Nothobranchius furzeri: one gene and its partners. The protein of the gene in region 1 purifies or fractionates together with the protein of each later gene. This does not show direct contact. Links are inferred from orthologs where the notes say so. Each region holds a gene or a part of one and is shown in the gene's direction. Other genes may lie near its edges.

Region 1 (4,256 bases):
GCAGAGTTTGAATAAGAACGAGCCCTGCTCACCTGAAAGGGTGATGGGCTCCACTATTCCTCAACCTACACACCCACGGGGAGCCCAAAATTTTATAGCTTCTACCTATATTACATTAATTATACGGACTCTATAGGTGCCACTGCCAGGGATGGTTTTGAACAGAGAGCACTGATCATTGATGTGCTGCAGGCAGCTGTGTCCTGGGCATGGCCCCAGTAACATTCTCCAAAAATATAAAATGACACACAATCATTCATGTCTGCTCAAATTCTTTCTGGTACTTACTTTTAGTCAGGAATTGTCAGAACTCATCACCCCTTAGTCCAGTGACTTCACCTCACTGGTGCAGCCTTGCGTGCACTCCGCTGTTTTGCGGTCAGTAGATGCCTTTGATGTGCTTAGTTCAAAAGTAATCCCTGAGGTGAAAAAGTAGAAAGCCAGGAAACAGTTTTTCTGCAGGATTGAGAGGAGATGCAGGAAGATGAGACGGACAGGACAGGAAAATATTCAAATAAAAAACAATTAAAAAAACAAGTTTACTTTTATAAAGCAATCATTTATAAGCATGTAATATTTATATATTTTATACAATTCAGATCACTTTCAAAACGCAGTCCCACTCCCAGGGCCGTATCAAGGCATTTTGGGGGCCAAGGCAAAATAAACCCCCCTCTCATTGGACTCCCCCGGAAGCCTCTGTAATTCGTGCCCTACGAAGATCCCGTTTCAGCTGATCCTCCCATTTTAATAATAAGCAACAATAAGGCTCAGGGGGTCAAAGGTACCATGCCAAAAAGTCAAAGCCGTGTGTGACCTACTTTTTAAGTAAATTAGAAAGTTTTAAAATGCCAGAGAAACTTATTTTCTGAGAAACCTCATAAAAACGTCTTAATGTAAAGCCCTTCCTCCTCCAATCTTCAGTTTCCTGTGTCTGGGGCCTTCTGGTTTAAACCAACCAATTAGCAAGCAGCTCATTAGCATATTCATGTCCTGGCCAAGTGGGAGGGGTGAACAGCTCTTGTCACAATAAGGTTGATTTAGAGGGGTTTAGCTTGGATTATGCTTGTCTGCGAGGTTCGCACGGCTCCGCGCGGCAAAATTGCGTCATTTTAACAACCACGCCCCTCCACCGCGCCTCCGCACGGCCCAAATTTTCCGCACCGCGCACCTAGGAAATTTTCTAACCACGCGGACGGTCGGATGCGGAAAAACATGGCGGACTGGCAAGAACTAGTATGGCAGAGGTTCATAAATACAGACATTTGTATGATTCAGCTCTCAAAGATCACCGTGATCAGCATGTTGTTAATAATTCTTGGAGAGAAATAGCTCGCACTGTCGGAAAAGACGAGGACGCTGTTAAAAGCTGGAATGCCATGTTGTAAACAGTCATTTTTACTTCTACTATGGTGTAGTGCTGGATGCATGCCGTAGAGCTCCATGCTGCCCCCTACAGTTTGGGAGAATATTGGCTCACCGCAGAGACGAGCCGCATGAACCATAAACACTGCGAGTTGTGAAGCACGTTCCATCCGCGAGCCGCATCACCGCGCGGAAAGTGAATGTGTCAAGCATAAACCAAGCTTTAGAATGGCCTGTATCAGGGCTCCTGGGACAGATGAAAGCCAAAAGAAAATTTCTTATGCTTCTTCGATTCAAAGCAGTGTTTTAGATTGCTGATCAACTGCATTCATTGTCCCCTTTAAATCAATGTTAACAAAAGTAAATACACAATCATGGACCAGATTCGAGACTGTAATGGTGGCAGGATACCTCAGAATAGTGCTACGCCCTCTGTTGTCCTGGCGGGGAATTGTTTTGCAACAATCCCCAGCTGACGGAGAAGTCTGTGACCAAAACGTTTGTCAGTGCGTGTGCGTCTCTCCCTCACGGAGCTGACGGAGAGGTAGAAATTAGGCTTTACAGTTTGCTGAGTCTTTAATGTTATTTGTCGTTAAACAGAGAAGCTTTGGTGCTGTTTTAGAGAAAGATGTTTGTTAAATCTCAGTTTTTTGGCTGTAAAACACAGGTGTTGTTGGTGAGTCTAGTGGATGTGATGAATATGTGCTTGTGCAAAAACCTGTTTCCAGGTCTATTTAGGTGAAACAAGAGGAACTGGAAGTAGGACTTCTTAGAGGGTTGAGCGTGTGCTTTGCTACTGAACACACAGCTCATTTTTTATTTTGTTTCTCCGTGGCTAAATTTACCGGTAGAGCTGTATTTCAGGCTGATCATCTCAGGGTGGATGTACACAGAGAAAATGCCGCTGTCCCATTTTTCTGGTTATTGGGGTCACAATTTCTACACGAGTGGTTACCTGGAAGAAAAGTGAAAGCACCCACACCAGCTTATTTCTGAGAAACTCGGACATCAAGAAAACCTTGAAGAAGTATTTTGGCCAGTTTGAAATGTGTTGTATGTAAAAGTTCTGACTTTTATTTGTTGTATATGACTTCCTGAGTGGGCTCAGCAGAAATATTTCTGCCAACACAACCCTGGAATGTAATGAAAAGGATTTTCACAAACTGCTTGTAAAGCCTTGGTGACTTGAGCTGTTAACAGGACGTTTGAGAGGAACGCCATCCACCAGCAATCTATATTCAGCAAATAAAAAAATCAAAACCCTAGAAAAAAGAATGTTTAAGATGGCCAACCAGTCCCATGTTGGCGTGATGAGACAGCCACACAGTCAGAGAACAATGTACCTTCTTTGTAGAAGTGTTACCTGTAAAGAAAAGGAAGAACATTTTCATAACATAATCATCCATTCCTGTTTTTAAAACATTAATACTTAAAGAGACAAATACTGAAGATTGACTCTGAATAAATTAGCCAAACATAAATAGTCTGTGTGACATAAACAGTAAAGTCCATTCTCAGTGCTAAACAGGCCAGATTATAAACCTGATAATCTGCCTTTTGGAAGGAGAAACTCGCTCTGCTCAACAGTTGAAATCTCTGTTTTTGTTTAAGGCTCTGGACTACTGTCACAGCATGGGCATCATGCACAGAGACGTGAAGCCCCACAACGTGATGATCGACCACCAGCTGAGGAAGGTGCTGCTCAGTTGTTTATTTACTCCAAAAACAACACCTCAGAAACAATCATGTGCATCTGTGTGTCCATTAATGAATCTGGCACTGACAAACTTTTACATGAGTCACTGATGCCCTGTTGCATCAATAGTTCATGTTTAAGTCAAACACACCCGGTTTTTGATGGGATATAAAATGACACTAATAACTTGTGATGTTGTAGATTTTACTCGAGGGAAACATGAGAGGAACCCAGTAACGTGTGTGTGTTCTGCCACAGCTCCGGCTCATAGATTGGGGTTTGGCTGAATTTTACCATCCCGCTCAGGAATACAACGTCAGGGTGGCCTCTCGTTATTTCAAAGGCCCCGAGCTGCTCGTGGACTATCAGGTAGATTTATTCAGACAAAAGCACAACTCTGAGTCAGGCGGTGTGAACTCTGATGTCATGTTAGGGTTCAACTGTGTTTTTCTGTTTTAGATGTATGATTATAGTTTGGACATGTGGAGTTTAGGCTGCATGTTGGCCAGCATGATTTTCCTCAAGGAGCCATTTTTCCACGGCCAAGACAACTATGATCAGGTAAGAGGTGAACAAATGATGTGTAAAGGAGGACAGATACATATTAATAAAGATGAGTTTTACTCTCTGACTAAATAACATAAAATTTAAGTTATAATGTTGACTCATTATTTGTGTCAGACAAATATAAAAAAAGATGCTTTTAATCCCAGAAGAACATTTCTTTCCTCCACATGAGTGGATGAATTAAACACGTTTTTGTTGATATTTTGTGAATGATCTCTGTCGGTGGCAGTAGAACAACACTCACAAGGTACTGCACTGTAATGTGGCTCAGTGGCGCCCCCTGCTTTGTGTCTTAAAACTAACATCACAGCAAGTAATCCAACAGAAACTGGGTTAACTCAACCTGTCCTTAAAGTTGTGGATCACTCAAATCATATTTTAATTATTTCTGATTATAATCGGTCACTCTGAGGTTCAAATGTAGGTTGAAAATGAAAATAGTCTCCTACACCTATCTGCTGCATTAGCTTCTTCTGATAGAAAATAGACAGTAAAACTCTAGGATTGGAAAAGCCTGACAGATCTACGTCGCACTGTCACTTAACATTCATGGACTCACCCATCTTGACTCACGATGGGGAAGGCTGCTGTTGGTTTAGCATCTAGGAAACAGCAGAGAATGTATCAA
Region 2 (4,256 bases), on another chromosome or scaffold:
AAGGATTTATGCTTGGAGTGCTCCAGGGATGAAAGCGCACAGTCGATTCTTTTTTCCTTATTCAACCTAATAGAGGAACAATTTGTACAAGAGACAAAAACAATAGCTCTTCATAATTTCTCATTTCTAAAGTCTTGTAAGGAGCCATGTCTTTGTGTAATTAGCAAAGTGTTTCTTTATCTAGCAGGAATTGCCAGTCAGCTCCCCAGAGCACCTGATTGGATTGGAGGCAGCAGAGAGGGATGTAAATGAGGGAGGTATGCGGTCAGAGAGTGAAGGAAGTGATTATGCACCTGGTAGAAAAAAGAAAAAACGCTCCAGCTCTGCCAAAGACAAGAAGAAAGGAGGAGGGGGAGGAGAGAAAGGAGGCTCAAAGAGCAAACGTAAAGATCCAGAACCGGATGATGACGACGATGATGACGACGATTGCCAGGTAAAGTTTCAGTTTTTTTTTAAATGTATGTTTCACTTTGTTACGGGGGACTAACTTTTCTCCGCCCACTGCCAACCCCCAGCCTAAAAGCTCCACGCAGCTGCTGGAGGCCTGGGGCATGAAAGACATTGACCACGTCTTTTCTCAGGAAGACTACAGCTCCCTCACGAACTACAAGGCATTCAGTCAGTTTGTCAGGTGAGGAAACTCACTTTTTAGGATCATAAATGGCTAAATATATCCAAATAAAAAAAATATACAAAGCCACAATAAACCTGGTCTTATGTGTGTTTTAGGCCTTTAATTGCTGCAAAGAACCCCAAAATTCCTGTGTCCAAAATGATGACTTTAATGATGGCTAAATGGAGGGAATTCAGCACAAATAACCCACTCAAGGTGTCCCCCCCCCCCCCCCCCCATTCAAACAAATACATTTGTTTTATGCTTTTTGTTCGTTTTTGTCCACAGAGTGCATAGCTTCTCACTCTGCTCCTGTCCTTTCAGGGTTGCGCCACTGCTAATGCAGCCTTGGCAGCTGCCAATGTGGCTGCAGCTGTGGAGAACATGGTGGTTGCAGGGACCGATGGAGGTGCAGAGATTCCTCCTGCTGCTCCTGCTCCAGTTCCTGCCGCCGCTGCAGCTCCTGCTCCAACACCAGCTGCACCTCCTGCTGCTCCAGCACCTCCGCTCCGCAAAGCCAAGACCAAAGAGGGAAAAGGTAAAGCTGGATGAACGTAATAAAAAATGGGATTTTACGTTTCAGTTTTGATTATTTAAAAATGCAGTTTTCAAACAAAATTGAGTATATATTGAATTTTGTTTTTTTATTTGTGTTCTAGGCCCAAATGCTCGCAAGAGGTCAAAGCCTGCGTCTAAACCTCCTGCTAAACAGAAACCCAAGAAGGTGGCTCCACTCAAAATCAAACTGGGAGGCCTCAACAGCAAGAGGAAGCGCTCATCTGTAAGATGTTTATTAATTTTTTTTTTCTGTATACTGTCTCTCCAGCAGAGAAAATAAAACTTCAAGTAGAAGCCGATTTTTAATTTTCATCTTTCCTGATCAGAGCGATGAAGATGAACCTGATGTCGACAGTGACTTCGATGACGGGAGTTTCTCTGTTTCTGATGGCTCCAACCGCAGCAGCCGTTCTAAGAAGAAATCTAAGAGTGCCAAGAAAAAGAAGAAAGGTCGGCTTTAAATTATCCCCAAAATCTAAACAAAAACAGATCAGCTGTGTGAACTTTCAAATTAGCTTCAAGAACAGAAGGCAGTAGACGTATTTCACAACTTCTGTCGTTGACGCTCTCTCTGTAAACCCCTCTGTCAGTGGAAACAGAAGATGGTGACGGGTATGAGACGGACCATCAGGACTACTGTGAGGTGTGCCAGCAGGGCGGGGAGATCATTTTGTGTGACACCTGCCCTCGAGCCTATCACATGGTCTGTCTGGACCCAGACATGGAGAAAGCACCTGAGGGCAAGTGGAGTTGCCCACACTGTGTGAGTGTCCTTAATAACCACCGGAATCCTGGAGCAGCAAGAGGGAAAAATGCAGTCGTCTTAGGATGTTGTGGTCTGGAAAGACTTTAATTTTAATCATTGTTTTGTATTAATTTCTCTTTGTTCTCTGCCCCACAAAACCTCTCTGCTCATGTTTTTTTAATATTTTATTCTCCTTCACACATCTCACCATGAAATTCCTCTTGTCACTCTCCCTCTCTCTGACTCCTCTCTCAAACACACCCCCCCACCCACCCTCCCCTTTTTTTATTCTGTTCCACATACTTTTCCTGCCTGCCGCCCCCCCCCCCCCCCTCCCCCATCACACACACACGTACCATCTTCTTCCTTCGCCTGTGATTCTGGCTCCAGGAGAAGGAGGGGATCCAGTGGGAGGCCAGGGATGATCTGTCCGAGGCCGAAGGGGAGGACGATGACGACAGGAGAGATGAAGGGTTGGAGGAGGAAGACGACCATCACATCGAGTTTTGCCGCGTGTGCAAGGACGGTGGAGAGTTGCTGTGTTGTGACACCTGCCCCTCCTCCTACCACATCCACTGCCTTAATCCTCCTCTCCCTGAGATCCCCAACGGGGAGTGGATCTGCCCCCGCTGCAAGGTGAGCGCTGTGATCTGCGCATGCTCACATGGGTTTGCTTCTAGACTGCCAAACACACGTTCTGCAGATGTGGAGCCCTTTTCCCTCGTAATTCTCCAGAATTTGTTGTTTCTTAATATTTCAAATAAATGATGGCTCTCATGCAGTTTGTATTTTCTCAATTTCACCATGTGCAGTAAATGTCGGGTAACATTTATGAGCCATCGCTCCGTTTCAACAGTGTCCACCGATGAAGGGAAAAGTGCAGAAGGTTTTATTGTGGCGCTGGGGGGATCCACCAGCCCCCATGCCTGTCCCTCGGCCTCCTGACCTTCCTGCTGATGCTCCTGATCCTCCTCCTTTGGTGGGCCGCAGGGAGAGGGAGTTCTTTGTCAAATGGTGCAATATGTCCTACTGGCACTGCTCCTGGGTGCAGGAGCTACAGGTACTAAGATCTCCTCACTGGGACATGAATCTGCTTCTTCCAACAAATTTACTACCTACTGCCACTCTTCCCCAGTTGGAGCTGAACTGCCAGGTGATGTTTCGTAACTACCAGAGGAAGACCGACATGGACGATCCTCCTCCTGTAGACTTTGGAGGTGAGGGCGATGATGACAAAAGCACCAAGAGGAAGAACAAAGATCCCCTCTTTGTCCACATGGAGGAGGAGTTTTGCCGGTTTGGAGTCAAGCTGGAGTGGCTGATGATCCACCGCATCCTTAACCACAGGTGGGATACATGTTTGACATATGATGGTAAAAGTAGTAAAATGAGTCAGGAGAAACATACTGGATGTTAAATTATTCCACATTGATTGAATGAGGTATTCAGATTTATTTCTGCTCTGACTCTAAAGTTTCTGACTCAAAATGATCAAATTTAAAGCTTTAAAAAACCACAAAGAGCTAGTTTTTAATCAAACCCTGCCTTGTTTGTATGTTTTCTGCATCTAATTTTAGTGTTGATAAGAAGAACAATGTGCATTATCTAATAAAGTGGAGAGATCTGGCATATGACCAGTCCACCTGGGAGAGTGAAGACATGGACATTCCTGAGTATGACACATACAAGCAGATCTACTGGAATCACAGGTGATTCTGAACATTTTGGGATTTATTTATATTATGTGGGAATTCTGTTTCTCATTTATTTATTTATTTATTTATGCTGTTAATTTTCTTTATTAGAGAGCTGATGACGGGGGAGGAGGGGAAACCTGGTAAGAAGCTTAAGAAGACCGTCAAAGTGAAAAAGGCAGAGCGGCCACCTGCTAACCCAGTTGTAGATGTGAGTGTTTTTATTTGGATGTAGAAAGTAAAGGTGTCCTAGAATTTAAAACAACATTTACCTTGTCGTTTATAGGCAGCTTGGGGTGTCTAATGTAGCATACCAAAACGTCTTTGCCGTCTTGCTTACTCATGTAACTTAGTGACGTTTTAATGGCCACAGAGGAACTGTTCATTCAGAGAAAAGCTGGTTTAACACATCATAAGCTTACGTTTGCAAGTCCCATCTAACTTCAACTCCAAAAACCTGTAAATGTTGGTCGTGGTAATGCTAACCGCAGAACAACGCTAGCTCGAGCTAATGCTAACGCTTACCTGAGTTTCTGCTAACATCCGCGCTGGACGAATGGAATTAAAGAGAACGTCGGAGCTCTTGTGTAATGTTCCAGGATGTACTGGGAATATCCAAACTTTCAATGAATGCCAGAAAGATCCA
Region 3 (4,803 bases), on another chromosome or scaffold:
CTTCCAGACTGTTGCATCTTGACTTTGGAATGCTCTTCCTTTTTCCTTATGTAGCATTGACAGTCTTAAAAAAAACAGCTAAAGACCCTTTTATTTAAAGCTGCTTTTACCTAAATGTTTTATTTTCTTATTTTTAACTTAAATTTGTAATCTCATCTTCTTTCTGATGTTAATCCACTTATGATTTTGAGATCATTATGATTTTATGACCTTGTTTTATTTTGTTTTAATCTAAGTGAAGCACTTTGTGATTCTATGTCTGTGACAAGTGCTATATAAATAAAATTCACGTACTACTTTCTTACTACTAAATCCAAGCCTATACATTTCAGACCTGCAACACATTAACAGAAACTGTGGATGACACAATTGAACTAATATTGAGTTTTAAATAAAGTAATATTTTTTAATATTTTACACTTTTATTTCTATATCTAATGCTTAGTGACTCAAATGAGTAAAAACATTTTATTGTTTTATTTCAGTGTGGAAATTCAAGAGTTTGTGAAGAAACTAAAAACACAGAAAATATAAAACAAATAACGATTAAAAGCAAACAATTTAAACAGTAATCAAACTAAACAAATGTGTATGTACGAAATCACAAAACAATATAATTTAACTTTTAAACCCAATGTTCTGAAACGTAAACGAGGACCATCATCCAGCAGCCACAAGAGGGGGCCATTTAATAACTGTTATAAAGAGCGTCTGATTCGTACATCTTTTAAACTAAACTAGAAAACCATAATGAACTCACATAATAAAAATGATCACGCCTTAGTTATCATATAATTATTTCATTCATCCACAAATTAAAATACTACGCGTAATAAGGCTTCAACAACTTTATTTGTATATGCATTGCTTAAATACATATATATGATTACAAATATGGAAGAATATACAAATAAAAGAAATAAATTTGAGAGCTAATTTTCATCTGTTGAAGATTATTACATAATTCCATTTATTTTCTTTGATATTCGTTAAGTGAAAGTACCTCCCAAGATCACATGATTAAGTCCACCCGAGCAGGAAGTGGAACAAGGTCAGCCTTCACCCTTCAAAATAAATCCCTACAGGTAGGTGCAAAAATAATATTGTACAGTAAAATCGTTATTCTCATTATTATCACTGGTACATTTTCTTCAGTTTACAAATGAATTGCAAAATAACCACTGACAAGGAGCTTTGCTGATTTGAATTTAATTGTTTTCAAATATAAAATCATTTGTGTTTTCGTGTTAGAACTGTGGAGAGCTGGTAGGGTCTCTGTAATAAATAATATATAACCCCTGAAACTTACATAAATTTAACCCAGTAATTTTCCACTTGACTGATAGCAAGATGCAACGCTTACTTTGCTTTTATGTTGAAGTTTCAACCCGGAAATGACGTTCGTCTCGGATGTTGTCATGTTTACCCACTGAAGCCCTTGGTAGAACAGTGCAGACGCACTGATGGCTAACAAATAGACTGGATATGGCGGTAAATGGAGTTTAGCGAACGCACCAGAACCTGTTTTTACCTTCCCCGATATAAATATTGGATCCACGTGACTTGGCTGGACCGAGAACCAATCGTGGAATTAGGCGTCCCATTGAGAGAGCAAACTAACGTTACAAGCATTAATCACCGCCTGCTAACAATTAGCAGACAGACTCAACCTGCATTAATATTTACAACTAGTCTGCGAGCCAGAGGTAGCCAAGAGACCCCGCCAACTCAGCAGAGGTGAGTCGAGCACATGATCCCCGAGCTCTGCTGTTTTTACCCCCCCCCCCATCTTCTGATAAAACGCGATTATTCTCGATGTGTCTCCTGGCGGGGCGACTGTGACGCTGCAGTCGAGCAATCATGCGTCTTATTATGTAATAAGTCAGGATTAGCGGGACTGGTGTGAACTTGTTGCTGCTTGCTCATCGTCAGAGGCTTCATCTTCACTTCTGCGTCTGTTTTTAGCAGAAAACGACCAAATAAACGTTAATTAGCGAAAGAAAGTCAACCGTTCAGTAAGGTGTGACGTACAGGTGGCTTGTTTTACTCGTAGTTGTTTGAGTAGCAGATTGTGTTTCAGGGCATTTGGACTTACATTTTCCTGCATCATCGCAGTCATCTGATCTGGTTCTGGTTCTAGTAGTGCTCTGTTACCACTTTCACCTGGCGAAGCTTCTGTTTGTGTCGGGCAACTCTGGTTGCAGCCGGTCCGATATCAGATACCAGTCTGCCACACAAGTGGCCTGTGATTTCTAAAATGTTTCATTCTTTCTGCTCAGACAGCATGTTGATCAATCACAGTTGTTTTCAAAGCTGTGATTATTCTGGAGCGAATTGGTTATGGAAATATATGATCAAAGTTATTTTGTTGAGCATTAAAGTCTTGATTATTTAACGCAGTTACATATTGGGTTGGGAAGCTCTTTGATTTGAACACTGAGGTGTGGCCCAATAAAATGTAAGCATCAAGTTCCTGACACATGAAGAAAGCCTCACTCTGCAGGACGTGATCTTTATTTACCTTATTTGTATTTGTTTGTATTGTATTTGTTTTATGGTAAATGGTAAATGGCCTGTATTTGATATAGCGCCTTCTAGAGTCATGGAACCCCTCAAGGCGCTTTACAATACAATCAGTCATTCACCCATTCACACACTGGTGGGGATGAGCTACGATGTAGCCACAGCTGCCCTGGGGCGCGCTGACAGAGGCGAGGCTGCCGAGCACTGGCGCCAACGGTCCCTCCGACCACCACCAGCAGGCAACGTGGGTTAAGTGTCTTACCCAAGGACACAACGACAGCGACAGACTGAGCGGGGCTCGAACCTGCAACCTTCCAATTTATGTCTTCATGTAGGTTGCGTAGTTTGAATGAATGCCTTTAAAAATATATGCGTTAATTACCAACAGGCTTTGTGTTGAAAGCATTGGATGTGTTCACACTTGTCAAGGTGCAGACTGATATCATCAAACTAAAAGTCTTTGCTAGTCACAAAAATTAGTGAACATAAAAATTAGGTAAAGGTGTCATTTTGTATCAACAGCCTTCTGGAGTGAAAATTCCCACACTTTAGGAGTTCAAGCAGGGGCTGCTCAAAATTACGCCGAATGTCGCAGATGGTCCGTGGACCACATTTTGGACAATCGTAGAATATCCGGAGTTCACATTTAAAGAGACTATTTACCAATGAATGTCAGCAGAATGTTTGAAAATGAGACTCTATTTTAACAATGGCTGAAGGAATGGAGTGAAGTGCAGCTTATTTAGTACATACTATACTGTTTGATGGTGTTATATGTATTACTTTGTGGTGATTATATCATCAGAAGACCGTGGACTTGCCACTTACGGAAGTTACCTGTATCAGCTTGATTGAGTCGTTTACATGGAGATGAAGTTGGGCTCCTACTGTATTATCTGGGCACTTAAGCATGATGACCATTTCTCCTTCAACAAGAATAATGTGTTTACATGCATTTAAAAATAAGAAATGCTGATCTATTTAGGGTAATTGTTAATTTTATGATGTGCAGGTAAACACTGATAGTGCCCAGGCCAATGAGAGCTCAGCTGAGCTGTGATGTCTTTTACTTGCAGAGAACTTTGGTTTTCTATCCGCATTATCATGGTACCTTAGGTGGAGTAGGAGTAGGCCGGTTTGGTTTGACTTCAGTCAGACACAAAGACAACACAGCAGATTAGGGTGTACGTTCTACTAGGGTAGGAGATGCTCTCTGAAGAGGTGGGTCTAATAGTTACTTGCAGATAAACAAGGACGCCTCTTTTCTGGTAGTGCTTGGCAGGTCATTCCGCTATCGTGGTAGGCACTGCCAGCCAACAGTCCTCCTTATAAACTCTAGAATATAAGCCATGCATTTCAGCATGAAGATGAACACATTCGAAGATTCTGACATCAACAGTTTCCACATAAGATCAAATGACTAAAGTTAAAAGAAGCTTACTCTGTGTATTTGTTTCTAAAGTGAGCTTTCTGAGTCATGTACATTTCCATATTTCCATATGCCCCCTGTACATGTAAAGGAGGTTAAGCTCAGAATATCCATGAAAACGTCTGTAGAGGGGAGCGAGGGCATCACTGGAACAACCAGCAGCTTATTTGCAAGTTAAATAGAGTTTCCGTTCAGGTTGTGTGACCCACAGTGAGTGGCTGTGTGCTACCAAAGGTACACCCAGCTTCAGATTTGGTTACAGATTCTACTTTGGGAGTATGTGGGATGTTTTTACCAACATAGATGAAAACAATAGTATGGCATTTGTTTTTTTGGATTCTTTAAAGTAGGGCTGCAACAAACGATTATTTGGATAATCAATGAATCGGATGAGGTCTCGACACGATTAATCGATTAATCTGATTACATGGGGAAATTTTTAAAAACTGCTAGGGAAACGTTATTTCTCTCCTTCCTTCACTTTATTAAACACAACATTATTAGAAAACAGATCAATAGCAGAAAAACAACATGCCATCACCTAAATTGTCTTATAAGGTGTATAGACAGAGACCCTAAGCTACACCTATCTGTGACCTAAAATGCTTGGTCCAAGTTAAACAGCAAGTCAACCCCTACCAGAGTCTAACTCCACTCCCACTTCATGTTTGAAAAATGGAACAAATGCTGTTGCCTGGCAGACCGAGAGGGCGGAGCCACTAACAAATACGCACACACTCAGGCTCACGACATCATTGTGACATCATAATGTACCAGTTTACATCATAGCATACTTCTTAGCCAATAGCAGTGGCAGATTTAAATTAAAATACAGTGCAGAGTTTTTACCT
Region 4 (3,758 bases), on another chromosome or scaffold:
TTTTCTTGAAAACATGTTTTTGTCTGAATGAAGGTGATGTTATTGTTCACAGAATAAAAATTCATGCTAAAGTTTAGATGTTTTTAGATCCTGTCAGAATCGGGAATCGATAGGAACCGGATTCAAAACCGCTCGGATTCAAGCGGTGTCCAATCCTAGTCATGTTGGACAGTAAACAGTGAAAGACAGAAATAATGGCAAAACTTTAGATATTGGAGCAATTTGTGATGGATTGTTACTTCTCTGTAGTTTAGTGAGTTTCGTTATGTGTACAGGATGATGAGAAGGATGGATGTCCAGCAGGAAAAGCAGACTGAGACCAAAGCAAGGGTTTTGAAAACGATACTTCCTCTTTGAGGAAGATGAGCTGGGTCGTGAGACTAAGAAGTAACAGTGGCGCTTTTTTCAGCTTTGTTTTGGTTAGCTGTCTGCTTTTAGCGACGTGTGTCCTGCTTGGAGCAAGATGTTGTCCCATCTGGATCACTGAAATCTTGTACTGCACAGTGTGCCACCTCTCTGGAGTTCTTAGTGTGACATGAGCGATCCTGAGCGACGGCTGAAAAACAGCGTGGTCCGGCTTTAAACAGAGTTGTACCTCCTGTTTGGTTGTAATTATTCTATCATCTGTTGAACAGGCAACGGCCATCCTGGCAGCGGAAATGGACGTGGTGAAAGCAGGAATGGGTCATGGTGATCTCAGCTTGGAGGCCTACACTCAGGTGTGGGAGGAGTGCTATGGGCAGGTGAGCATCCTCACAGTGAACAAAAGGAGATGAACAAATGAAACCAATCTGGGGTTACTGCCATCAAGCTGAAGATGCTGTTGTTGTGCAGGTGTTGTACCTACCTGGTCAGAGCAGGTACACCAGAGCCAACCTGGCTTCAAAGAAAGATCGAATTGAAAGTCTGGAGAAAAAACTAGAGGTGAAAAAGTTAAAATGTAATTATTAAAAAGCTGAGTGAGTCCCAGCCCTTTGACCCCGGCTCCGTTGCCCTTTGCAGGTGAACCGTGGTCACATGACAGCTGAAGCTCGGCGAGCGGCTAAACTAGAGAAGAAACTGAAGATCCTGCTGGGAGGTTTTCAGTCCAGAGCCCTGGGCCTCCTGAAGCAGCACAATGAGCTTTACGAACAGGTAATGAGCAGATTTGTGTCAGCATGGAAGGAAGATGCTCCTTTAGAGTCAATAGTACACATCTGAGGGTAAATGGATCGCCATGTTTATCATTTAATGCCAAACAAAATTATCTTAATGTGTACAAACCAGAGTTCCATGTTTCTGCTCTTAAAGAGCAAGTCACCCCCTACCAGAGTCAAACTCCACTCCCATTTCCTGTTTGAAAAATGCGACACAAGGAGGCATTGCTGGTGAACCAAGAGGGCGAAGCCACACACACGTCTGTCTTTCTATCATAGTGAGGACCCTCCATTGACTTCCATTCATTTTTGTGATTTCACTATGCCTAACCCATACCCCAACCCTAACCATAACCAATGCTAATCTATTCTTAACCTTAACTAAAACTTAATTCACACCAAACCTCTAACTGGTATAGTAAGCTTCTAAAAAAAAAAGTGAGAACCAATTAAATGTCCTCACTTTGTAGGTAAAATGGTCCTCAGTATGTAGTATGTACAAGAACACACACACACACCGTGACATCATAATGTACCAGCTTACATCATAGGGTACCTCTTAGTGCATAGGGACAACGGATTTAAATTCAAATGCTGTGCAGAGTTTTTACCTGAAGAGGGACACTGACGGTTTTAGGCAGAATATTTAAATTTGAACTAAGATGCACTAAAGTGCCAAATTACTGACTACACATGTCTACAGCACCATTAGACGCTCGTAGTTTATCAGCAAAAACAGTTGTTGTTGTAAAAGTAAACTAACAGCTGGTTTAGCTTTTAAATACAGGTTCACTGTTAGTTTCGACTGTAAATTTATTCTATTTTGACATGTTGTGCTTGTTTTGTCCACCAGGTGGAGCAGGCAGCCACGGAGCTCCAGACCTTCAGTCAACTGAAAAAACAAGAGGACCTCGCCATTCCCAGGAGACAGGAGGTGACCCTCACACACACGCACACACACACACCTGCTCATTCCGAGCGTTAGGCTGGATTTACGTTCACAATCTTATTTAAGTAAGATTTTAACTTTCTCAGTTTTCAAATGACTCAAATATAAAATGATAAAAGCCATTAATATGTATTCCAGCCATGCTCTGGTCATGTTCCAAGGCCTTTATATATAAATAGAAAAAAAGGCTCCAGTTTTATTTTCATTGCTGTTATGATCTGATTGGCTCAGTGACGAGGTTGCCATTTTTTGATAAACTATGTAATTATTTAAAAACAAACAACTGATCAGAACTGTTTGCCCAGAAACATATTTTCTAGAAGGAAATCCTTTTACTTGGTGACAAACCAAAGTTTTACCACCAAGTAAAGCTTTTTGTTTGACCTTCTGGTGTTTTTAGGCTTTGCGGGAAGATGTGGAGAGGCAGATGGAGAGAGAGCGAGAACTCCAGCAGCGATACGGAGAGCTCCTGATGGAGAGGGAGTCGCTGCTCAACAGTACGCAGAAATTCTGAGTAACGCATCGATAGATTCATTAATTCATGACTCAAAACAATGCTTCCTCTTAAACCTGCTGTAACCATCTGACTGTATCCCAGTGGAAATCCTTGCCTCTGTGTGCTAATTTTGCCGTGATGTGTCAGCAGCTGAGATTTGAGCGTGTTCAGTAGTCCTTGCTTCTGTACTAGTGACCAATAAAGTTTTTCAACAATAAAACCAACAGCAATGGTGTGAACTCAACTGAAAAGTTTTATTACATAAAAAATAAAATTATTTACATTTGAAAAAAGATGTGGGCTGATGCATCAGCAGGTGAGGAAAGCCATCCCGCTCCTCCTGTAGGTAATCTGGGGAGAATGAGACCACACCTTAGGCAAACACCAGGAGGTAAGATGGAAACATGCTGCAGGTCACAGCCATACGGTGGGGTGTGAAATATTGGGCAGCCTTTTTGATCTCCGTGATTTTCCTTTATAAATCGTTGGTTATGATAAAAAATATAGGAGATGCACTAAGATCTGAGAAGTAAAAAAGTTTATAGGGTTTACAGAAAGTGAAATAATTGTTTAAACAAAATTAGGCCGGTGCATAAATCTGGTCACTGTTGTCATTTTATTGATCCCAAAACCTTTAGAACAAATTATTGGAACTCGAAATTGGTTTGGGAAGCTCAGTGACCTTTGACCTCCACACACAGGTGAATCAAATTATGAGAGAGTTTTATGGGGCAAGTTGTAAGTTTCCCTCCTCTTTGAATATTCTCTGAAGAGTAGCTACACGGTGGTCTCAAACAACAGAGTCAACCCACCGTGCAGCACCCAAGACACTGACCATCGTTCAACTATTCGGTGCACTTTACACAAGGAGATGCTGCATGTGAGAGTGATGCAGAGGAAGCCTTTTCTCCAACCACAGCACAAACAGAGCTTGAGGTTTGCTAAAGCACATTTGGACAAGCCCACTTAATTTAGAATAAGGTGCTGTGGACTGATGAAACTTAAGTTGAGTTATTTGGGCATAACAAGGGGCGTTATGCATGGAGGAAAAATAACCCATCTTTCGAAGACAAACACCGTCTACCTACAGTAAAACATGGTGGTGGTTCATCATGCTGTGGGCTGTGTGGCCAGTGCAGGGACTGGGAATCTTGTTAACGTTGAGAGACGCATGGAT
Region 5 (4,932 bases), on another chromosome or scaffold:
TCAAAGTGTTACCTACTACAGGTAGGATTTTTTTTTTCACAGAAACTCATTTCAAAAGGTCTGCAGTAGTTTAACAATAATATAAACATTCTTTATTATTTCATAGATGAAAATGTCATGAGAATTACCTTAAATTAGCAATGGTAGCATATTCCATTTAATTGTTCGGTAACCTAAAAAGGGTATTTATGGTATCCTATTAAACTTATAAAATACAAATTTTATTTCTTTTAACAGGATTCTCAGAAATACTTTACAATCACGAGGAGCTGCAGATTTCGCACTCTAGATAATGGAAAAATTGTAAGTATCTCACTCTCACTCATGCACCAATAACTGAAATGAATAATTTTACAATCAAATCAATTATTTTGATTGATTTTAATGTGTTGTTTAATTATCAGATTAAACAAGAGATTGACAACCCAAATGAGGCGAGAGGAAGGAATGCATTGAGTTACTGAAGGCGATGCTGAACTGGGATGCAAATGAGAAGATCATGCCGAGCGCGATCCTCGCCCATCCCTTCATCACCGTGGACTACAGCAGATTCAGCAGCTCTTCCTTGGAGTCTTATCAGCATGCTTGATCCAGAACCCTGCACCAGCAGGGCTCTAAGTCTTCATGAAAGTAAAGCATTTGCTCCAAGAATGTGCTGGAAGCCAAGTCAAGTGATTCAAATACCTGTGAACACATCAACCCTTTCCTTAATGTCAAACCAGCTGCAACTGTGGAAGACCTAAACATGGAAAACGGTTTGTCTTGTTCCAGCAAAATACTCAGAGAGCCAAAGGAGGAGACCTTTTTGAAGCAATTATTTTGCTGTTGCATGCTGAAGTCAAATGCTGGAGAGAGTGTTATGGCGAATGATCAAGAAACAAAAAATCAGCAAAATTGACACCTAGGAGATCGTTCTCCAGGGTGTGGCCCCTAAAACTGTACTGAGAAGCTGCTCAGTTCTCTATCTTGATCCAATATGAAGAGTAAATAAATGTTTTGTTCAAGCATTACTCATATAGTGAAACAGTGCCTTTAATTTTTTTCATGCAATTACAATTTTTTGGTAATTTTGCAAAAACCTCTAACACAGCCATGCCTTTTTGAAAGAGCTAAACATACTCAACAATATATTTCATAACCTGGTAAGTAAGGCTTTGATAGACAATTAATTCCTTTTCAATGATGTTTGCCTTTAAAATGCATGTGTAACAGGTCCGGGTAAAAGAAGAATCTCTAACATATTTTGCAGACTATGCCACAGTGGCTTGTTAAAGAGGATTCAAATAACTGTTTCAATGCTAAATGGGGTTTGACAGAGTCCAACACAGATTTAATATCTAGGACATACATTTCTCAGCATCTAAGTGGAGATGAAAAAGTGGTCTATTTTAAAACAAACAGCAGTATGCTGTATTGGCAGAGCAACAAATGGATTCTATGTGACTCACAAATAGCATAAATTCCGAGATATTGTTCGCATATTTTCAAAATACATTTTAGCTCACAGAGCTTCAAAATACAGACAACAGATGCAATCTGAGTGTTTATTGGCATCATTTTGTTGTAGATATAGTTATAATAATTATTATTGTTTTCTAATGCTTCTAATAGACATTTTGATTATTTTAGAGCTTTTATTATGGAAAATCATCAAATTCATTATATCATAAACTATTAAACCAACATTTTTAATGGCCTTTACGTTATTGTTAAGCCATGGGACACTGTGCTAAGACTTGTTCTAGAATCAAACTGTATATTTTATTTTTGCTATAATCCATAAATTCACCAGTTTTTAGGAATCATTTAAAACTGTAGTACCAAAATACGACTCAAGAGGGCGCTCTATTGTGACAAAGAGACAGGAAGTAGTACGTTTAGCTTTGTGAGCGACATTTTAAATAAACCCGAAGCTAACTGCTAATTGTTACAGAGCTTGCGAACCTGCGAGCAGCTTACGTCAAAAACACGCAGGATTTTATTTAAACTGTAAATAGTTAGTGATTTGAGCGGTGTGCTGGTCATACAACTCGTCGAAGACAGTCTGAAGATTACCGAAGATGTCCAGATGTCCGACATTGTGATAAGAATAAAATACTGACGCTGTGGTGAGTTAACAGCAGCTGAGTGCTGCTTGAGCTACCTCTGCATTAGCTGTTAGCCGCTAACTTGAGCCTGCCTAATAGAACTGTGGTTGGGTAGATACTGCTTCCATTTAAAGGATTTTGCAATGCAGCTTCTCTGCAAGCCACATTTCTTCCTCACGACTTGCGTTATTTTGGCAAAATTTGCGAAGGTTATGATTCATGACCGAAATAAGCTTCACTACGCAGCTCAAGCCGGATTTCTGTTTAGCCGTGGACACAACTTATTAGTATTTCCTTTTGTTATTAATAAACGTGACTCACTGTCTGGATGCGTGTTGGATTATTGCGTGATTTATTTGATATTATAGTATGGGACGAAAACTTTAGTTTTTTATTAAGCAGTAAATCCATTTTTAGAAAATTTGGCTAAAGTGAGACGTTTGATATTTAAAATGACGTCAAACCCTCTATTTAAATTAAATTGCATGTGTTATGTTAACAGAAATCTGGCAAGTTTTAAAATAACTGACTGTTGGCTAGAGTTAGTAACTTGTTTTTCTCTTTAGCAGGTGAGTTCTTGTCCAGGCACATTGGTCCAAATTGGCTGGACCTTTGGGCTCTGGGCTTCATCAGCTGGAGAAAATGGCTGATTTAGTGAAGGCAGAGGAGTTTTTGGATGCTGAATGCCCTCCAGAGTGCCTTGATGAAGCACAATCAGCTATAGTTTCTGTTCAAGGAGAACAGGATGAGAACCTGAAAACGGAAACCACCACCAGTACTAGTTCACCCCCAAGGGAAAAGGAGGCTGACAGCCCTTTAAATACCGAAGGGGAGCAAAGTCTCCTCTCTATGCCATGCCTCATGAAGGAGCTCCACCGAGACTCCCCCGAGTCCCAGCATGCATCTACAGGGAGTGACAAGCCAGCGTCACGCAACATTTATGAGAGTGACTCCTCAAATCCTTGCATGCTCTCTCCCTCATCTAGTGGACACTTGGCTGACTCAGACACGCTTTCTTCAGGGGAAGAAGGGGCAGCTCCCCCTGTAGGAGAACACGAGGGTGGAATGGAAACTGTAAACGATCCTGGGCAAATGGCAAAAAGACAAGCATCTGCCACTGCTTCTGGGGGGAGGAAGTCTCGGCGGTCGCATTCGGAGAGCGAGATGCCTCCGATTGCAATGGCTGCAAAGAAGAACCGCTGTCAGCCAACGGCAATAGCGACTGGGCAGGAGAAACAAACCAATGGCAAGTTGACGAAAGTTAAAGGTCCCCGGAGCCAGAAACACAAAGAGCGTATGCGCCTGCTGAGGCAGAAACGAGAGGCGGCAGCACGGAAGAAGTATAACTTGCTGCAGGACAGCAGTACCAGTGACAGTGAGCTGACGTGTGACTCCAGCACCAGCTCCTCAGATGATGATACTTCAGGAGGCAGCAAGACAATCAAGACAGATATTCCAGGTAACCTCCCATTACCTTATCACACCCTTCTAGCGCAGTACTTTACATAGAAAACAATAGCATTACTTTATAATATTGCTTGTATAATTGCTTGTATAATTTAGAAGTTCAAACATAAACCTAAAGTTAAACTTGATAAAAGAATGTGTGCTTTCTGATAAGGACAAGGCTTTATTTGTGCTCCTTTTGACAACCACCTTTTCTTTTTCCTGTTAATTTCTCATTCATCGATAGCCATTCTCATCGTCTTTAAATGTAGAAATGTTGTTCCGAGTTGTCCTGTCACTCGTCACTTTACATCTTTTGTGGTGTCTCATAGTTTGCATGCTGTGGAATTCTAGTTGTCATTGTTCAACCCATGGATCAATAATCATTTTTTACTTAGTGATTGTTTTTTTTTTTTTTTTTTTTTTTTTTTTGTCCAGTGAGTCATGGATCTGTCCAATCTCTGCTCTAAACTGATAGAAGCAGGCCACGTTGGTCCAGAATATAAGACATACATGTCAATTTTTTTTAACTCATTGGAGAATTAAAGAATAAATATTAACATCACCCAAATTACTGCTTGGAGTTTAGTATATCCTGTTATTTATCAAATATTCTAGCAGAAGTCCTGGGTTGGTTTTATAATGAACTCTTCCCATACATGGCCTTTTATTTATTCCTGTAGTTTTCTATATATTCAGCAGCATTTTCATGTGTCTAATGGCCTAATGATGCACATCTGGGAGTGGATGTGGTGATAAAAACATTCAACCCTGGTAAACACCAGGAGGCAAACTCATTTAACTGTCTGGATGGGTTTGTTGTTTGTTTGCATCGTTTGTTTTTCTCAAGTCTCCTGAGTGAGTTCAGGTGTCACGTTTTACTCAGCTCAGGTTTTTTTTTTTTTTTTTTTTTTTTTTTGCTGTTTAAAGAAATGTTTTTATTTACTTTAATCTGGCCTTTTCAGCTTAATTTTTTACCTCAAGATTTCAGTTTTATCCAACTGAAGTACCAGTTGCATTTGATTTAGTATAAACGGTTTGTTTTGGTTTATTTAAAATTCTGTTGATTCGTTTTACATGTAGTCGCTGTAGGGGTAAAGCCTAGTATCTCAATTTTTAAACATTTTCACGTATTTACATTTAGATCTATTGGTCACATTTCACATAAATCAGTGAAAAGTGGACACTAAAGAGAGATGTTGTGACATTTGACCACAGAGTCGGTTCTTTGTAAAACTGAAGACTTTTTCCCCCAACGATGACAAAACTGTATTAGATGTATGTTGTAGTTCAGGTTATCTCAGTCCATATTATATGTGTGTACTCGAAAGACTCACCAGTTAACATGTTTTCCAGACCATAGTTGCTGACTCAGAACATCCAGTTTTCTTCCTTTATG
Region 6 (4,256 bases), on another chromosome or scaffold:
GGCAGTACAGTAAAACTGCTGCAACACAGGACTACCAGGTGAAGCATGTTTATAATACACAAGCTAGCCATTAGCTCTTCAATGTTTTAGTATCATGTAACCTAATCTGTTGTTATTCCTGTTTGCAGAGTGTCAGCCGTGCTGCTGGGAGTACTGCTCCACGTGGAGACAAACCACAGGCTACTGTGGCACCTGCTGCTGATGAAGACTCGGAAGCCTGGCGACAGAAGCGGAAAAAGACATCTGAAGTTTCTGAAGCTGTAGAGCGAGCAAGACGAAGGAGGGAAGAGGAGGAACGGCGAATGGAGGAGCAGAGGCTCGCTGCTTGTGCAGAAAAACTTAAACGTCTAAATGAAAAACACAAACAAGCAAATGAGAGTAAAACCGCCAATGCTCAAACCACTAATGACGACGCAGGAGCTGCAGGGGAGGACGCCCCATCTGCACCAGTTCCTGCATCCAGTCCTGTCCCTTCAGTACCAGTTCCACAATCACAGGTCCCAGTCATCCAAGACCCTGTATCAGAGAGGGGGGGTCCAGACAAAGAAAGGGCAGAGCAAGAACATGAGGGAGTAGAACCAAGTGCTGAGAATGAGGCTCAGTTACTTCATCAGCCCAGCTCCCCAACCCAAAGACCCGTAGCAACAGCTCCAGAACCACAAAGCCAAGGAGAACTCACCTTAGTGGAGGTCGGTGCTCTTGTGGAGGAGAACCAGGTGGATAGGACAGCATCTGTACCTATCCATGACTATTTTAACTTGGAGGACAACAGAGGTGAGCCAACGCTTGATGGAGTTTTACTCTGGATCAAATTGACCAACTTTGTCTTAACGGTACTGTTTTTCTACAGTGGATGAGCCCCATCTGTCTCTGTCACACATGGACACTCCAGGAGGAGAAGAAGTCCCTATTGCGCCCCCACAACTAGAAGGAGAGGCCACTGCTGCCATTCGTCCCTCTCTTATGTCAGGCTATTCCAAACAGTTTCAAAAGTCGTTGCCACCACGTTTCCTCAGACAACAGGTACGTTGGTCCAAATATGGCCTTGTGGCTTTGATAAGACCTAAACATGACTGGTTTGATTATAACGTGAATTATCCAGGATATGGTTACTGACGGAGCTGAGATATGCCTGTAACTGTCAGAGAAGAGGAACATTTTAATCAGTTATATAAATGGTGAAGACGCCAGTTAAGTTAAATGTTACTTTGATTCCACAGGAGCAGATGAAGCAGCAGCAATGGCAACAACAGCAAAGCGGGGGATCTGTGTCCCCATCAGGTGCTGGCAGTGTTCCAGCTTCCCAACAGCAGCAGCACCGCTCCATGTACCAACCAATGGGCCCCCACCACCAGCACTTGGCCTCCATGGGGTTTGACCCTCGCTGGCTCATGATGCAGTCCTACATGGATCCTCGCATGATGTCGGGCCGACCTCCTATGGACATGCCAGCTAGCATGCACCCCGGTGAGGATATGGATGAGTTGGGCTGTGGTTTATGTAATAAAGGCTCCCTGACATGTTTACATCTTCTGTGGTTTCACCTTATCAGGGAGAATGCCTCCAAAGCAGATTGTACGCAGAGAGGCAGGTGACAACTCCAGCTCCAGCTCTGACTCGTTCGATCACTTGTCCCGACCGGTTCGAGACCACGGCCTGCCCTCAGACTCACGAATGGTTTGGGGATCAGATCCATACCCACAGTCTGAACCGTTACGCACTGTAACTCCTCCAAAAGGGCGAGATGACCACCAGGAACAAAGGTAAAGTATTGCAAATAAATAAATAAATTAAAAATCAAGTATTCTTCATTCGTTTTATTTATATAATTGTTTATTTATTCTCTTGCTTTCTTAGGATCGACTCTGGGTTGGATCTGGACAGGGGTCTTCCAGCTATTTATGCTCAGGATCCCAGTACAGCTGACTCTCGTAAAAGTAACTTTTTCCGGGATCCAGAATCCCTGTCGGTGTTTACTCAGGGCCCTGAGGATGTTTCAGAAAGGGTCCCTGTAAGTTCTACCTTTGACACAGTTGAGAGAGGTTTACCAGGTGGGGAGGAGGTAGAGGCAATTGGTCAAGCCATTCTTCAAAGAAGTGTCTCGCAGGGTTCCAGCCACTCTCTTAAGCTAGATGAGCTAAGGTTTGATGGGATACCCCCGGCAACAAAATCACTAGATCAACACGACACAGGAGAACGGGTTTCAGACAAGCACCAGAATGAAGTCTACTCCCAAGCTGCTGTAGCCCTTAACAGGGCTACACCACCTGCAGATGGATTACACAAGCCAGAGAAACTGCCTCTGCCAGGCCCCAGCAAGCAGAAAGCTGAACTTCGCTGGGGTGGAAGATCTGGGGCTGGACGCAGAGAAGGGCTAGGGGGAGAAAGACCAGTTCGCAGATCAGGACCAATAAAGAAGCCTGTTCTAAGGGACATGAAAGAGGAGAGGGAGCAACGAGAGGAGAGAGAAAAACGTCATGAGAGAGGAGAAAAGGGGGACCGGTCCAAAAGGGATCAGTCGTCTAAAGCTCCCTCTGCAGCTGCAGTGGTGTCTGAAAGCACCAGACCTCAGGGTGAGGGCAAGAGGGAAAATGCTGAGACGGAGGAATCCTCCATTTCCCACCCCAGAGCGAGAGACTCTCAGCCTTCTTCAGGAGTGCCCACCTCTTCCTCTCAGGAGGAGAAAGTAGACAAGCTGCCCTGTAACGACAAACATCCAGAAACAAAACTGCCGTCTCGAAAAGACTCCAATTTTCCTCCTCCACGTGTCAGACGAGAAGATCGAGAGAGGGAACGTGACAAGGAAACAGACAAGGACAGGGAGAGAGAATGGCCTCCTGATTCAAATTTCAAAGGACGCGGTCGAGGGGAGTACTACTCACGAGGGCGTAGCTACAGAGGAACCTATAGTGGGCGCAGCAGGGGATGTCGTGGTCGTAGCAGAGCAGAGTACCCTTATCGGGAGCCTCGATTACGCTCTGACTTACCCTCTGCTGGAGGAGCTGCTGCCTTTCGCAACCGAGAAGAAAGTGAGACACGCAGCGAGAGCTCAGACTTTGAAGTCATTCCTAAACGCAGGCGGCGCCGTGGTTCCGACACAGACTCTGAAAGTGAAGGTGGGAGAGAGTCTGCCAGTGATACTGGACCCTCTGATCGTGAGCCTAGCACCAAACCTAGCCGTCCACTAAGAAGAGATCTCCCCGGTGAGGGCCGTTCCCACCATAAGCTGGGCTGTGAGCCGCCTCACGGGGTAGAAAAGTTGGGGTCAAGAGTGGATGAAGAAGGCCGGCCCAAGCCAGGATTTCTTCCTAAAGGAGAGCCTTCTCGCCGAGGACGAGGAGGATTGTACAGTAGAAGAGGTGGACCAAGAGACCGTGGAGGACCTCGCTCGGCTCCTCATAGAAGGCCAGCGGCCAGAGATTCCTCCTCGCAGTGGCCCTCTAAACCCATGGAGACATTCAGGCCTGAGGATGCAGATATTTCAGCGAGATACGACAATCCTTCCACCGACCGACGACCTCCAAAATTAGAGGGTAAAAAGTTTGGAGATGGCGGGCCTCAGAGTAGCAGAGAACGGCCTCGTCGATCCCGACCAACACGGCCCCCAAGGCAAGATAAACCCCCCCGCTTTAGACGTTTGAAAGAACGTGAGGCTGGGGGGTTTGGTGGTGACACAGCTTCAAGTCCCCCAGTTTCTTTAGCTTCTGTGCCTGCTGCAGCTGGCCCTAGTTTAGCTCCTGCCCAATCCGCCCTTTCTCCACCCACGTCTAGAGCTCCAGGAACTCCCTTAACTGTGCCTGCAGAAGTGACAGCTGCTGTACCTGCACCTGGCCAATCTTCTCCCTTAGAAGTGTCCTTGCCAGAGGCCAGTAGTCCCTCCATTACTGCAGTGGGTACCAAATCCCCTGACTTGTCCAACCAGAACTCTTCAGATCAGGCCAATGAGGAATGGGAAACTGCTTCGGAAAGCAGTGATTTCAATGAAAGGAGAGAACGAGAGGAGAGAAAAGGAGCGCTGGAGGCTGCAACTGAGGTCACCCCAGCGTCGGTGCCTGCACCTCCACACGGTTCTTCATCTCCCAATAAAAGTCCACCTGATGGAGGAGTGACTCCAAAACGAGAGGCTTCTCAAGCAGCCAAGAGGAGTTTTTCAAGTCAGAGGCCCATAGAAAGACCCAATCGTAGAGGCAACAGCGGAGCCAAACCCGGCCGCAGCTACATAGGAGGCAAGGGTGAGAGGAGAGGAGGAGGAAAGG
Region 7 (4,256 bases), on another chromosome or scaffold:
CATGTGTAAATGGTTTGAGTTCTTGCTCCAGGTGGACTAGTGTTGTGAATTAAGCAAAACCTTTACTTTATAGCTTGTTTGTGAGCTGCTTTTGTTTGTTTTTAACTGTGGTTTTGAACCAGTCACTTGCTACACAGAGTTGTGTCAGCGTTGTTCTCTTAAACCCACAAAGTCTTTTATAAGCTCACATCTCTCGTCTTCGGATGTTTTTATGTAGAAAGGTTAGCTTAAAATGAGACTTACGCTTGCTCACTTTCTCTGCTTTTAGTGTCCCCTCCAAGCTCTGCCTTCATCCTCCTGCTCCTTGTTCACACACACACACACACACACACACACACAGGCTGCAGAAGCTTCAGCAGCCAAATTATTTGTTTTCATTGTGAACATCATCAGCAGTTTATAAAAAATTAAATGCATCAGCTGATATCTACAAATGAACACATCTGCAGCTTTCTTTATTGTGTTCAGCAGGATCCTAGTTTTGATGCTAAAGATATGACTTAGAGCACACTGTCTAACTGGAGCTATGCTCGGTGTTATCTGGGACAATTTAAATAGGTCCCTTTAGGACCAGCATCACACAGCCATACTCTGGCATCCATTTTTTCTCTACATCATCAACTTTTCTTGCAGCAGTAAATACCTAAAGGAGTTTTTTTGTGTTTTGTTTGATTGCAGACTACTCCTGTGCTCTTCAGCGGGACATCCTTCTGCAGGGACGACTCTACCTCTCAGAGAACTGGATCTGTTTCTATAGCAACATCTTCCGTTGGGAAACACTTGTACGGCCTTTCACTTCCTGCTTTTCTGTAGACGTTTTACTTGCAGGATTGGGTGTTTGTGTGTGCGAGTGTGTGTGATCATGTGCTTTTGTGTGCATTCAGCTGACGGTGCGACTAAAGGACATCTGCTCAATGACGAAAGAGAAGACTGCGCGCCTCATTCCCAATGCCATCCAGGTCTGCACCGACTCTGAGAAGGTAACGATCCCAGAATATTTGACCTGGATTCACCTCCACGGCTGCATGAGGGCTGGCTGTAGTTCAGGCTTTGTCACCAGCAGAGGGGGCATGCTCCTGATTCACATATGTGTTTAAAGAATGGATCCAGCAGTGATCACTATTAGAACCATTCTCTTCAAAATAAGAGCATGGTTTCAATAAGCAGTAATAGTAACAGGTGTGTGTTACCTTTTCTCTCAGCACTTCTTTACCTCATTTGGAGCCAGAGACAGGACCTACATGATGATGTTCAGATTGTGGCAGAATGCTCTGCTCGAAAAGGTGAGGAAAGCATCCAGCATGTGTCTGTAGCAGAGACTGTACACGTGTCTGTTTAGTGAGCACCGGGAACCGCTGATACTCCTTCCTGCATACTTCTTGTGTTTTTCTGAAATCTTTCTTTGTCTGTTGCTGTCTTCATTTTTTTTTGCAGCCCCTGTGTCCAAAAGAACTGTGGCACTTTGTGCATCAGTGTTATGGCAACGAGCTTGGCCTGACCAGTGACGATGAGGACTATGTTCCCCCTGATGACGACTTCAACACCATGGGGTAAGTTTGCTTGGATCTGTCCACACAATTGATGCAACTGAGTCCAGCTCTGAATAGTAAGACCAGTGTGGTGCGGAGTGGTGCACCTCATTTATCGTAACACATCACACCTAACCCATTTTAGAATAAACATTTGTAATCAGGTCACTGATAAAAAGTCAAAGGAAAAACGAGAACAGGGCCAAGTTCTGCAGATTTACAAGGTTCTCTTTTCTGCATCACACACACATAAAGCAGTAATTTGGGTCATTATTGGATGTGCAAGAAGTCCGCAATCACCTTTTGACATGCTGGTGATATTAGAAGAAGCTGCTCCTCTACGTTTGCTTGAAAAGGAATGAAGAAAACTGAATTACTGTCCTCTGGTGACCCCAGGTTCAGCGAAGAGATTCCCAACGAAGAGAATGAGATAAACAATGACAACTTGACAAAAACCAGCACAGAGCAAACTAAGCCTGAGGGGGGAAGTTCTCCTCTGCTGCAAAAGAAAGTTGTCCCAAACAGCTCCATCCCAAGCCCCAGCAACCATGACACAACCATCACGGTAACGTATAAACACAAGTACACACTTCAAGTACTTCTCAAGCTCATAATAACATCAGGAAATGTCTCTAACAAGAGTTACTGCATCCTGTTGTGGATCACCCATGCCTGTGTGTTTTTTTTTTCCAGTTTGAACTCCCAGCAGAGGAATTTGCAGACTGTCTACCGGACGGCGAGCTACTGACAGTGCCTCTAGTGGTGGAGGAGCAGAGTGAATCAAGCAGGCCTGGTGGTCCTGTTCCCTCGCCATCACTGGACTTTAACGACAACGAGGACATCCCAACCGAGCTCAGTGACTCCTCAGAAACCCATGATGAGGGTACGTACCCCAGCTAGACTGAAATAACTTCTTTTTTCAGATGTTATCATGTGTGTCATCCTTTCCGGGATTCCTCAGGCGAGGTCCAGGCCTTTCACGAGGACCTGAACGGCAGGCAGCATATCAATGAGGTGTACAAGTTCAGCGTGGACAAACTCTACGACATCCTCTTCACAGAGTCTCAGTTCATGAGTGAGTTCATGGAGCAGAGGCGCTTCTCAGGTCAGTGCTTCCAACATTTCTCACAGTTAAAGTATAGAATAGAGGGGAAATCCACTCATTACAGCAGCACATACACTTAGAGAAAATTAAGAAGAAAAATAATAAGATTACAGGTTAACACACAAGGGCAGTAAGCTATTATTGTAACCTTCGACCACTAAACACGGCGAATAACAATAAATTTTGCGTTTTCAGAACTATGCAGTATAAGGGACACAGGCATACTATGTACATCCAGTATTGCGCAAGTATTGAACACATACCGAGTACTGCATTGATGTTATTGTGCACCAGGATAATGCCAGTACCAGTTAAACTGAGGAGTTCTACGTGCTTACTGCAGAGAGGATGGATGACCTACGGTAGTGTTCTGTTTTACATCTGGGATGTGTCAGTCTGCCTCTGAAGGAGGATTCTATGGTCTCCACAGTGGAATGCAGTGGGTGGGAGGGGTCTTCCATGATGAAGCTCATCTTCCCCAACATCCTTTCACACGTCTCCTCAACTGTATCCAATGAGCAGCCCAGACCCGAGCTAGCTTTGTGAATTAGCTCATTTGGTTTCTTCCTGTCTCGGTCAGAGCTGCCTGCACCCTAGCAGACCACAGCAGAGTGGATAACAGAGCCAACCACAGAGTGATAAAAGGATTTTAACAGCTGGGAATTAACTCCGTAGGACCTCAGCCTCCTCAGGAGGTGGAGGCGGCTTTGGCCCTTCATATACAGAGTATATGGAGTATAGAATCACAACTGTCTTAAACAACCCTGCTGTAGCTATCTATAACAACAGGCTAACACTAGCACAAGCCAACTGGTACTAAATAAGCTACAAAGTCAAATAATCCACACTGCTGGACAAACAAATATCATAAGTCTACTAGCAACAAAGCCAGGTCACTATCAATCTGTGATTTTTGTAGCCTCCTTCAGCAGCCTCAAATGCGTTTAGGCCTTGCGGATGTTCACTCTGGTTTTAGCTCTTCGCTTCATCTCCAAAACATTCTCTCTTCCTTTTACTTCCTTACTCTGACATGATGCTAACAACAAACCTATTCTTCTTCTTGTGCTTTTTATTAATTGTCGGCAAACTAAAAACGCTAACTGCTAGCTGGCACAGGTAACAGCTATTGTGGTACAGCACGGAGAGACCTCCCACAAGTATTCCTACCTGAATCACAAAATTGTTAAGTGCAGTTTCTGGTCTGCAGAGGGCTACAGAGTGCTGTCCAATGTGAATTTACACAAGTCTCTGTCTCAAGAACCACTGAAACCATTTTAAAGCAATATATTGGTGTTAAAAACTCTTTAGTATTGCACTAATTGAAATTTGGCTTCCAGGGAGGTAAAGAAGTTATTTTCCATTTCATTATTTTTCATCCAGATGTCGTGTACCACCCGTGGAAGAAAGAGGAAGCAGGAAACCAAACCAGAGTGATCTTGTACACCATCTCTCTGTCCAACCCCCTAGCACCTAAAACAGCCACAGTCACTGAGACGCAGGTGAAATGAGCCAACCAGAGGCCTCTGTTACTGCTTTATCCTACTCCCACTCATCTAAATGGCTGCAAACTAAAACACAGTTTGCTTTTCTTCCTAGACTCTTTACAAAGCGAGTCAGGAAAG

The links.
Region 2: the proteins of casein kinase II subunit alpha' (region 1) and chd4b purify together in Homo sapiens (affinity purification with mass spectrometry; 4 studies listed by BioGRID and IntAct, with this or other methods). This does not show direct contact. The link is inferred for Nothobranchius furzeri from reciprocal best matches to the Homo sapiens genes CSNK2A2 and CHD4.
Region 3: the proteins of casein kinase II subunit alpha' (region 1) and osbpl8 purify together in Homo sapiens (affinity purification with mass spectrometry; 4 studies listed by BioGRID and IntAct, with this or other methods). This does not show direct contact. The link is inferred for Nothobranchius furzeri from reciprocal best matches to the Homo sapiens genes CSNK2A2 and OSBPL8.
Region 4: the proteins of casein kinase II subunit alpha' (region 1) and cdc5l purify together in Homo sapiens (affinity purification with mass spectrometry; 3 studies listed by BioGRID and IntAct, counting the BioPlex papers as one, with this or other methods). This does not show direct contact. The link is inferred for Nothobranchius furzeri from reciprocal best matches to the Homo sapiens genes CSNK2A2 and CDC5L.
Region 5: the proteins of casein kinase II subunit alpha' (region 1) and ark2n purify together in Homo sapiens (affinity purification with mass spectrometry; 6 studies listed by BioGRID and IntAct, counting the BioPlex papers as one, with this or other methods). This does not show direct contact. The link is inferred for Nothobranchius furzeri from reciprocal best matches to the Homo sapiens genes CSNK2A2 and ARK2N.
Region 6: the proteins of casein kinase II subunit alpha' (region 1) and prrc2c purify together in Homo sapiens (affinity purification with mass spectrometry; 3 studies listed by BioGRID and IntAct, with this or other methods). This does not show direct contact. The link is inferred for Nothobranchius furzeri from reciprocal best matches to the Homo sapiens genes CSNK2A2 and PRRC2C.
Region 7: the proteins of casein kinase II subunit alpha' (region 1) and gramd1bb purify together in Homo sapiens (affinity purification with mass spectrometry; 3 studies listed by BioGRID and IntAct, with this or other methods). This does not show direct contact. The link is inferred for Nothobranchius furzeri from reciprocal best matches to the Homo sapiens genes CSNK2A2 and GRAMD1B.

What each region holds. Positions count from the first base shown.
Region 1 is NC_091749.1:31,566,942-31,571,197, reverse strand, and holds part of casein kinase II subunit alpha', read left to right. Parts: intron 1-2,976; coding exon 2,977-3,060; intron 3,061-3,319; coding exon 3,320-3,430; intron 3,431-3,520; coding exon 3,521-3,622; intron 3,623-4,256.
Region 2 is NC_091745.1:74,024,552-74,028,807, reverse strand, and holds part of chd4b (chromodomain-helicase-DNA-binding protein 4), read left to right. Parts: intron 1-184; coding exon 185-433; intron 434-515; coding exon 516-631; intron 632-729; coding exon 730-829; intron 830-937; coding exon 938-1,151; intron 1,152-1,272; coding exon 1,273-1,394; intron 1,395-1,497; coding exon 1,498-1,621; intron 1,622-1,761; coding exon 1,762-1,934; intron 1,935-2,306; coding exon 2,307-2,552; intron 2,553-2,772; coding exon 2,773-2,976; intron 2,977-3,051; coding exon 3,052-3,263; intron 3,264-3,493; coding exon 3,494-3,625; intron 3,626-3,721; coding exon 3,722-3,821; intron 3,822-4,256. UniProt on the Homo sapiens protein: ATP-dependent chromatin-remodeling factor that binds and distorts nucleosomal DNA. Acts as a component of the histone deacetylase NuRD complex which participates in the remodeling of chromatin.
Region 3 is NC_091741.1:58,358,725-58,363,527, forward strand, and holds the start of osbpl8 (oxysterol-binding protein-related protein 8), read left to right. Parts: upstream 1-1,523; 5' UTR 1,524-1,737; intron 1,738-4,803. UniProt on the Homo sapiens protein: Lipid transporter involved in lipid countertransport between the endoplasmic reticulum and the plasma membrane: specifically exchanges phosphatidylserine with phosphatidylinositol 4-phosphate (PI4P), delivering phosphatidylserine to the plasma membrane in exchange for PI4P, which is degraded by the SAC1/SACM1L phosphatase in the endoplasmic reticulum.
Region 4 is NC_091752.1:40,119,674-40,123,431, forward strand, and holds the end of cdc5l (cell division cycle 5-like protein), read left to right. Parts: intron 1-635; coding exon 636-743; intron 744-834; coding exon 835-924; intron 925-1,002; coding exon 1,003-1,134; intron 1,135-1,989; coding exon 1,990-2,070; intron 2,071-2,485; coding exon 2,486-2,599; 3' UTR 2,600-2,805; downstream 2,806-3,758. Other genes in the region: supt3h (transcription initiation protein SPT3 homolog), read right to left, coding at 2,891-2,932.
Region 5 is NC_091746.1:60,555,587-60,560,518, forward strand, and holds the start of ark2n (protein ARK2N), read left to right. Parts: upstream 1-1,885; 5' UTR 1,886-2,108; intron 2,109-2,653; exon of another isoform or gene 2,654-2,656; 5' UTR 2,657-2,729; coding exon 2,730-3,546; intron 3,547-4,932. UniProt on the Homo sapiens protein: AMPK substrate important for exercise capacity and skeletal muscle function.
Region 6 is NC_091748.1:46,614,761-46,619,016, reverse strand, and holds part of prrc2c (protein PRRC2C), read left to right. Parts: coding exon 1-38; intron 39-128; coding exon 129-774; intron 775-850; coding exon 851-1,023; intron 1,024-1,220; coding exon 1,221-1,467; intron 1,468-1,552; coding exon 1,553-1,763; intron 1,764-1,857; coding exon 1,858-4,256. UniProt on the Homo sapiens protein: Required for efficient formation of stress granules.
Region 7 is NC_091753.1:27,155,528-27,159,783, forward strand, and holds part of gramd1bb (protein Aster-B), read left to right. Parts: intron 1-678; coding exon 679-782; intron 783-884; coding exon 885-980; intron 981-1,202; coding exon 1,203-1,283; intron 1,284-1,434; coding exon 1,435-1,550; intron 1,551-1,925; coding exon 1,926-2,094; intron 2,095-2,222; coding exon 2,223-2,412; intron 2,413-2,490; coding exon 2,491-2,634; intron 2,635-4,014; coding exon 4,015-4,133; intron 4,134-4,230; coding exon 4,231-4,256. UniProt on the Homo sapiens protein: Cholesterol transporter that mediates non-vesicular transport of cholesterol from the plasma membrane (PM) to the endoplasmic reticulum (ER).